2 linked regions of the Caenorhabditis elegans genome follow. The protein of the gene in region 1 purifies or fractionates together with the protein of each later gene. This does not show direct contact. Each region holds a gene or a part of one and is shown on either strand. Other genes may lie near its edges.

Evidence for each region. The genes of interacting proteins can lie anywhere in the genome.
Region 2: the proteins of F39H12.1 (region 1) and F16B12.7 fractionate together in Caenorhabditis elegans (co-fractionation; one large-scale study listed by BioGRID). This does not show direct contact.

The regions. Positions count from the first base shown.
Region 1 is NC_003284.9:832,604-838,458, forward strand, and holds F39H12.1 (Pericentrin), read left to right. Parts: upstream 1-2,174; 5' UTR 2,175-2,185; coding exon 2,186-2,381; intron 2,382-2,438; coding exon 2,439-2,511; intron 2,512-2,742; coding exon 2,743-2,803; intron 2,804-3,179; coding exon 3,180-3,444; intron 3,445-3,494; coding exon 3,495-3,643; intron 3,644-3,687; coding exon 3,688-3,915; intron 3,916-3,976; coding exon 3,977-4,132; intron 4,133-4,858; coding exon 4,859-4,969; intron 4,970-5,014; coding exon 5,015-5,068; 3' UTR 5,069-5,218; downstream 5,219-5,855. Other genes in the region: wdr-54 (WD repeat-containing protein 54 beta-propeller domain-containing protein), read left to right, coding at 14-119, 557-685, 740-895; F39H12.3 (RIIa domain-containing protein), read right to left, coding at 5,703-5,796.
Region 2 is NC_003284.9:14,106,802-14,110,443, reverse strand, and holds F16B12.7 (Protein kinase domain-containing protein), read right to left. Parts: upstream 1,900-3,642; coding exon 1,623-1,899; intron 1,581-1,622; coding exon 1,393-1,580; intron 1,222-1,392; coding exon 970-1,221; intron 919-969; coding exon 730-918; downstream 1-729. Other genes in the region: F16B12.6 (DUF7747 domain-containing protein), read right to left, coding at 2,765-3,130, 3,178-3,642.

The DNA.
Region 1 (5,855 bases):
ATGTTTATTTTAGGCAGCACATCAACGTAATAAATGTGTTGAGAAAGCAGGTGATCGTGGGAACTTTGAGAGGAATTGTTCAGTATTATTCGGTAACTACGGGAGATCTTATGTGTGAGGTAAGAATAGTTGAGGGGGAGGGAATCGGAACTTAACAGAAAATCAGGTGAAAAACTTTGGGATAGCTCAATCGGGATTGATTAAACAATAAATTCACTTGTGGGTCATCCTCAAGGCAATTAAAAAAAATCGGTAATGGTGGCCGCTAGCAATCTGGAGGTCACAAGTTCGAGTCCGGACTCGCCCCGCTAGGTTCATCCAGCCTCTATTGGGAAGTGAAGTAATCCAAGACTATCAACCACAGTCTCCGGCTAGGACGTGGCCTAAATTGTAGCCCATTGGGATTACCACCAGCCAGTGTACCTGACTCCCAGATATGCAGTGCATAGTGCTTGAAGAGCCCTTTATGGAAACATGACTGAAAACTCGGGCTTCTTCTCGATACTTTTTCTATTTTCATGCTTGTGAAAATGTTGCTTATAATAATTTCTCACAGATAAATGCTCATTCAAGACCAGTGAATAGTGTTTCTGTCGCACCGGAAAGCGCATATGTCTTGACTTCTTCCGAGGATGGCACTTTTATCGTTTCGAAGCTTCACACAAGAAAACCACATGCTTATCAAGTTAGTTCACAGAAAGTCGAGAACATTTAGGTATACACAAAAACTCAATTTCAGGTTGAATACCGTTTCTCTGACAGCGATCCGTCCAACGTCATCATGGGAGCGCAATTCACAAATGGACGCGGGAGTGCAATTGCAATTGCCGCATTTGATAGCAACGTCTTGGTGATGTACAAGATTATCAAGAAAACTGCTGTACCTGCTACATAATTATATTTTACTGTGTATCTTCAATTAATATATCTGTATTTGGCTTTTAATATGTTTAATAACAAAAAAACATTACACTCCATGTAGTCTATTTTGCTAGCAAGATTTATCTGTAAAACTAAGATCTGAGTTGTCAAAGCATTGCTTCGCAAGACTAATAATATAATAATTATATAATTTCTCAAAAATGTATTATTCTTTTAAATTCTGGCATTCGATTATGAATTCTCTGTGCATTCTCTCTTTTTCCATTTTGAATGAATTCCATCAATATTAGTAAATGAATGAACTTGTTATTCTTTTATGTGTTTTCTAAACAAAACAGGATTCTGCTAAAAAATGTATACTAGCTTCAAAATATTGCTGTAAAAATGAAGGTTTTATTGATTCTAACTCATGAAACACTCCAAATACTAGAAATCCCGTATTTCCTCTGTTAGTCTGGCACCCCTACGGACCAATTGAAATTTAGTCTTGCATGCAAGACTAACAGAGGAAATACGGTATACATTTCTAGAAGTTGAAACGTCTTAAAAAATAATTTCTCACTATCAGCAATAGCCTTTAAAACACAATTATACCCTATTTTCCCAAAACTGACAAAACTGACATTTTTTAACCTGAAAATTTTTGATTATGTTCTTATTCGCTTTGTCAAGTTGAATAAATTGAATATTATCGTTTTTCTACAAAAATAAATATTCATAATTTATTGTTCCTCCTCAGTCAGCTAGTTATGTTTAGGACAGCTGTTCAACATTCTGCCCCTCCACTCTCTCTCTAGTTCCTCTTGACGCGTAGTGCTATTGATTTATTTTTTGGCAACATGAAAATGAAGATTTTATAGAATTTTTGCATTTTATAAGTACATTTGATTTTGAAAAATAAGGGAAGTTATATTTCGACTGTATTTTTATATCGAAACTCCAATGCCAATTTATTTTCTTGAAATTTATTTAACTGTTGATTTGTTAAAATTTTCAATATACCTAATCAGAAAGTTTTCATTTGAATTTTGAAATCTTAAAATTGTATTGTTATATTTATATTTTAATATTTATTCAACACAACAATTTTGTTATCCCAATACCTCCTGGCCTAGGTTTCTCCACGACACAATGTGTCTCTTCCATTTCCTCTGTTCAACCCAATAAAACGTGGATTCCACTAAATTCCGTCACTGCTTATCTGATTCATCTTTTCTCCTTCCGTCAGAACTTTACACAACACGCTTCTTATTTACCAGCTTTTGTCTGTTCTATTTTACCTTTTTAGTCAGTTTCAGGCACAATGAATGTTAATTGGAAAGAAGCAATACTTCAAGCACAAAAACGAATTGATCAGGTGTTGGATATCAGGCCAGAAGCAGCCGAGGTTGAAGTTGATGTGCCAGATGAAGTTCATGCTGAGCAGGAATGCTCATCTCCGTCACAAGGGTCCGAGCCATTAGCTGACGATATTGTTATGTTGGAACCTGTTTTACCGCGTAAGTTTTTCTTAAATTTAAATGAATAAATATTAATAATTAGTTCCCGTTTTCTAGCATTTCATAATAATCGATATATTGGAGATGATATTCAAACAATTATTTCATCGGACATTGAACATTTAACAAGGTAAGAATTATGTAAACATAACAATAATCTGACCATAATGATAAATTTGTGGATGTATTGACTATAATTATGAGTGCACTAACCCAACTTGGATTATGCACTGACCAACTTGACAGTTGCACTGACCAAGTTGACAGTTGCACTGACCAACTAGACAGTTGCACTGACCAAACTAACAGTTGCACTGACATTACTGGTAGATCTACTGACTAAAAGAAAACATAACTTCAGAGCATCTTCACGGACAGCGTCACCGGATCGATTACGAATAATACCAATGGAGTTTGATACGGTGAGTAGCTACATTAAATGACATCATAGTATACATAACACACAGAAAGTCACTTTCGCTAAGACAAGACAATGATCTGATCTTGAACAAGGTATCAGGGAAATCCTAGACAAGATGTGAAGCGGCAGAAACTAGATTTAAATTTAGAGTGATGGAATTTTAGATTGTGATTTGAATAATGATTTTGTTTCGGGGCGAAGTCTCAGAGCAAGTCAGGGATTAGAAAAACATCAAACTTTATCAGATCGGATCCCAATCCGTTTTGAAATTTGTAGAACGTTTTTCAACAAACAATATACTAGTAAACAGCAAAACTTAGTAATCAAGTACAATACTAATTATCATTTTTCAATACATATATTATTAAAAATTACAGGATATCTCAATATCGAGTGTTGTGAGCCCCGCTGCAGCTCTGACACCTGCTCCAGCACCGGCTCCAGCTCCAGTTGCTGTGCCAGAAGTAACATTACCAAATCCTGAAGAAATTCTCAACCAAGCAATTTATGGATTGCGGAAGGAACTAACGGAGTACAAAAAAGCAAATCAATTCTTACAACACAGCCATGCAAATCTTGAGAGAGAAATGGAGGAAAATAGATTTTCCGTGAATGAAAAAGTTGTGAACATGCTTAGTGAAGGTAAGAAATACTTTTTTAGAAAATATAGATTCAATGACTAAATTTTTCAGAACGGGATCACTTTCATCAAGAAATCTCAAATCTCAAACATACTTGCTCCCAATTAACAAAGGAGAAAATTGAATTAGAGGAAAAGTACCAAAATAGCACAGATTCGTGGCACAGAACTCAAGATGTACTTCAATATTTTAGAAACCAGGTATTTTTTTTGAAAAAATTTTGAAAATTAGGCTATTGTCTTAGATCTCACAAATGAAAGGTGCGCTACAAAAAACAGAAGAAACATTTATCAGTGATTTCGAAACTTTTGGAGCAGAAATTAAAAGAAGCTTGGAGAATCAAGCGAAGAGGAAATCCTCATCACCGAAGATTATACAATTACCCTGTAACTGTGAAAACAAGTCTCGGGAGCAAACGAATCAAGTCGTCAAACATGATGAATCTACACAAACTAAATCAGTATACATTGATGTGAGTTTTTGCTCTAATGGACAATTTTTTGCACAACCGTACTCGTAAATCAATGTTTTAGGAAAGCCATCGGTGGGAGAGAGAAGAAAAGGAAATCGCATCTTCTCCAAATGGCAAGAACGGGAATGTGACCGACCTTCTGCAGATAATTGAACAATTAGAGATGGAAAAGAGACTTCTTTTGGCGCAGAGACGAAGTGATAAAGCGGAAATTGAGGTGAGATAAAAATAAATCGTTTGGGCAAATATCGGTTTTTGCATATTAGATTAATTATTATTTCGGAGGTTAATACCGCCATCTAATCTAAATACACGCTGAATAGTCCAGCACGAGAAAAGATCCTATTACGATATTTAAATTTTGTTTAGATGTTTCAAAGTTTTAAATTAAAGTTTTTATAAAATGACAAAATTATTCAAAGATGTGTAATTTTTGAATGATTTCGAGCATTAATGCAGGTTTGAACACTGAAAATATTTGAATATGATTAATTGACTAGCGGATATATGGGCCCGCCAGCCCTTCGGGAATGGGGATAGGGTTAATTCGCTTTAAGTTATTAGCAAGGTAGCTGGCGCAGGTTCTCGGCTTCGCCTCGAACCTGTTAACGGGTTATTCGAGATCTCTTTGAAATTATTTCAGGAGTGGGGTATATGTTTAGAAAACTTGACTATTCAGGTTTGAGGCTTCGCTCGAAGCTCTTACTGTGTAAAGTGAAATCTCTTTAAACTTCGATTCATTGCTCCAGGGCCGACACTGTACGAATAACTTAGGCTGAGATTTTGTTCAAGAATAATTTGAATGTTTTCAATAAAATAAGCGTGTTTTCAATCATCACTGTGAACTACAAAAAAACGGTGAAGGAAAAGGATTACAAGTGATAAGAACTTCCGAAAATCCCAATTTTTTTCCCCAATTTCAAACAGCAATCCAATTTTTTAGAGGCTGCAAGAACAACTCAATGAGACCTTAATCATGCATGGTGAAAAGATCGAGCAACTTGATGAAATCCTCGTGGACAACGAAGAATTGAAAGATATTTTGAAGCAACAAGTAAGTTGGATCATCGAAACAACAAGATTTTACTTCCCTTTTCAGGCGTTGGCTCTCACGGACAATATTGCACAATCAGATGAAAAGGGTTCTACATAGCATTTTTCACAAGTTTATTCAATTGATTACTAATTATGTAGATTTTATATGTGATATTCAGTTGATCCGAAATGTCTTTTTTTTAGTTTTTGATTCCGATTTGGCTTTCAATTTGAATTTTTTGGTTATTGAATGAAGGGTTTACTTAAAAATTACTTTTCAGCCAAAGAACTATAACAATTTTTGTTTTTTGTAGTTAACCTGGCCCAACAGTATATTCCAATACGGTTTCCATTCATTTCTTCTGAAAATGCTGAATTAATCCAAACGGAAAACTGATTTCCATTTTAGCTTAATATGAAGAAAAAAGGTTGCCCACGTATATTACACAAGTACCGAAATTTAAAAATTTTGAAAAAAAAAACATTCACCAAAAATATTTCTTGACAAAATTTAGAACTCACTAACAGTTGTCTTTTTTTTTATTCATTTGTTCGGATAAGACTTTGATAGTGAAATCATGAAATGAACATTGTTTGTTGGTTTATTTATTAAGAGATAATGACGACGAGTGTATACGATAGGAAGTTAGAAAAATAAAAGTTAGAAAATTTGAAGACAGAAATAATATTAATCTCTGGGCATGAATTCGTTGGAAAGTCTGCGCTGTGAAAAAATTTCGAATATGGTTTTTTTAGTTGTGATCAGAATGGTCGGATTGAAGGGAAGAGTGACTTCTGGATGGAGATAGGCCCTGTTCGTCCAAGTGTTTTCGTGTCAAGAAGCCTCTGAAAAAGACTTGGAGTTGCTAAGTTTGTCATATATATCACTCGCAACATTTTCAGGT
Region 2 (3,642 bases), about 13 Mb from region 1:
CGAGCCTCACGGCACGACCCCTTCTCAACTCGTTCTCCGAGCGAAGTGATGACAAATTAATGGATTCGCATCATCGCCAAGTGCCCAAGGCACTGAAAATGCGCCAACAAGAGCGCAAGGCGCGAAACTTGTTAAGCGGGAAATCAGAGTGTCTAGGCGTGTCAGAATGACAAAAGAGCTTGCCTTTGATGAAAAATAAGAAGAAAACGGGTAACACCCGACAAAATTATTAAACTTCAGTCTTATTTGCTAATGTTGAGCCGGGTTTTCTATTTAACCAATGCGTCTTGAATTTTTTCGTTGCTACAGATGTTAGCTTCAGTTTCCACATTCAAAACTCCTGAATCGCAACGCATCAGAAATACTGAACTCGTGGAATAAATACAGAAACCAAAAAAGTTTGATATTTGAAAACGCTACCAACTGAAAAATACTAACCACTATGCCAATAAAACTCGATAAAAAATTAGACAGCTGAAAAATCAAGTATTGGTTCGAAAGATTATGCTCGTAAACACAAATTGGAAAAACTGCAAAACAATTTTCGAATATGTATTAAAATTAATTGAAAAAACTATGATAAAGGGGAAACGGCGTTTAATGAGAAGCAGTTCAATTATCTTTCAAACTTATGTTTTGCTGATAAAATTGAAACACAAGAATACTTCAGCACATTTGTTTATTCACAAGTAGGTTATTCAATACACAAAAAAGATCAATACACGGCGTTCAGTTAATCTTAATCAGTCCATCATCAATTGTGTAGTCCAACGTTTCCTCCTCTAACAATTCAACTGATTCTTTCAACGCTTTTATCATGATTTCAGCGTTAAAGTCGTCATCATTCTGTGCACGCATCGATTTGAATACAATAGTCATCCATGGCAAGTTTTGGAGAAATGTTTCAGTGGCAAAGTGCTGAGAAATGTAATTTTAAAAAACAATAGAAGATTTTGCAATTTAACTAACCAATTTAAGCTTAGTCAGAAATCTCTGTGCTTTGTTTTCCCGGTAGCAGCTTAATCCTAGATCGATAAGCAAAATATAAAATAAGCTCTCAAAGTCGTCGCTTTTTCGATAATCACCGCCACAAGCGATGTTGAATGAACAACGTCGTTCATCAGCAAGTAGTACCTTGTACGTTTTATCGATGCAGTTACGCCTTTTTCGAGTTTTGAATCTTTTGCTCAATCCGAAATCAATAAGCTTTATTGGATTAATCTGAAAAATATAGAAAGTTGATAATTGAAAAAAAAATGGAAAAAAAATGATTTTCGAAGCCTTCTAACCTCACGTTTTGATTAAACTGTTGATTGAAACAAAAATTGATTGGAATATTGATTTTTCGGCACGGATACTACATAAAAATGTTTGAAAAAATTATATTATAACCTTATCAATTGGAACCGGAACCATCAGATTTTGTTCGTGCAAATCAGCGTGGAAAAAGCCAATGGAGTGAAGAGTACTCAAGGAACGGGAGACTGCACATCCAACTGTCGCGACATTTTTACGATTGAAAACTAAATTTTTGTTTCTTTTTCTAATGTCATTAAGATTGTCTCCTTCGTCGCTTAAGACTGAAACAAATATTAAGTGTTATCGGACAAGGTGAAACTCACCAATTGCATAATATCCGTCAACTTGAAAATTCTCACAAAATTGGGGAAATCCATTTCTTTTTGAATTACCAAGAGAGTCCAGTTTGCGAAAAACTGATAGCTCCGTCTTGAATGATTTTTCTCGTTGACTCCCGTGAACAAATTTAACAAGCTTAATTACTTTTTCTTTGTTCAGTTCTTCCATATCGTTTACAGCAACAATACTTCCATACGATCCTTCACCAATTAAGTAACTTACATAGTACTCTTTGACAACTTTTCCTACCAAATCAACCATCTGAAAACGTGATACAGTAATTGTAAACTAATTTCCCTTAGGTTTTCAGCTAAAATAAACATTTCAAAAAAATTACATTTACTATAGAAAAACCGAGAAATTCAAACAAATCGAAAAGGGAGAGTTTGAAGAAAACCGCGGAAAGTGTAAGTTTAAAATTAAGAAATGATTTATTTCAAAACTGACATTTCACGTGAATGCGTGAAATACATTTGATTTAATTTTTGACTTTTTTTCAATTTCTTTGAAATAAATGGCTATCATTGAAGACCGGTGAGTACCCTGCACATAAAGTGACGTGTTTGAAATTTTTTACAGAACCTGGAATCTAGGTCACAGAGTTGTTTGTAGTAACGGACTTGAAACATTAGGGATTTGCTTAACCAAATTTTACCTTTCAGATGTTTCTGTTTCGGGTGAAAATACAGACCAATAACTGGTTTTCATGGGGGTTGTATGCTCCTTTGCAGCTGGGGCAAACATAAAAAATTACGGAGCTTGGAAAATTTGGCAAATCTACTTTTTTGAAATTTACCGTGTTTGGCAAATTTGCCGCACATCCATGCTTTGCACCTTACATTAAAATGTTGTTATTCAGATATTCAGCCGAATACCTTTTTTTAAACTACTATGCATTATTATAACTTCATCTGTGTCAGTGTATTATGTTTGATTTTCAATTTGCTGAGAACAGAAAAAAGATCACCTTGTCATTCTATAGTGGCAAAAAACATTTGGTGTAAAACGGAATAATAGATAGATATGACATAACACGGATTTTAAAGGGTAAAACAATATTATAAGATCAATTTAATTTACAGTTATATGATTTTTCGAACAATGTCTGTTCCAGTTAATCATAATTTTAAACCATAGGATCTTCTGGGGCTTCAATAACTTCATGTTCCAAATGGCCTTGTACTTCAGGATGTTCAATGTGTTCCTCGTGTCTTCCCAGTTCCTCGTGTCCGACAAGATGATTACCAGGATGCACAACAAGTTCTTCTTGCATGTATTCGACACCTTCCTCCACAATCTCTTGGTCGCCAGAGAAAATGTCCACGTGGAATGTCTCATTGATCATTTGGAGCAAGCGCTGCTCGTTCTTTTCGTATAATAGTCGGAACAAGCTGTCAAAAGTGTCATCAATGCACTCCGAACCAAACTGTTTTTGCGCAATTCGCCAAAGAGCATCATATCGCTGAGATCCACGAACAAATCCAGCAGTAGTCTGAAAATTGAGAATTTAAAAAACGAATCAATTATACAAACACTAACCACGCTTTTCTCCAAAAATGGATTTCTTCTCATCATTGATTGCCCATAGACGTCTCCAACTTCTTCAATGTGCTCGACAATCATGTCTCCTCCAATCATCATTTCGTGACCCATGATTGTTTTTGGAATTTGCTCTTCAATCACCACCTCTTCCACAGTCTCAGTTTTAGCCGATGTCGATGGTCCTGCACCATCAGCTCCGGTCCATTCAGTGACAAAAGTGTCGTTGTCAGCATGAGAACCAGAAAGTTCTCGCCGTTTGAGACTGAACAACATATTTGGACTAATATGAATTCCATGTTCCTGATGAATTATCTTCGCTGTTTCATTTACTGGGGCAGTTTTCAGCAAATGGAACACATCCTCTCTGATGTTTGATGGAAGGCTGCTGAACCATTCATCAGTCGAAGGTTGAATAGTCTTCTGAATTGGCTGTGGCACAGCTCCGGGCTCAGTGTAGCTGTA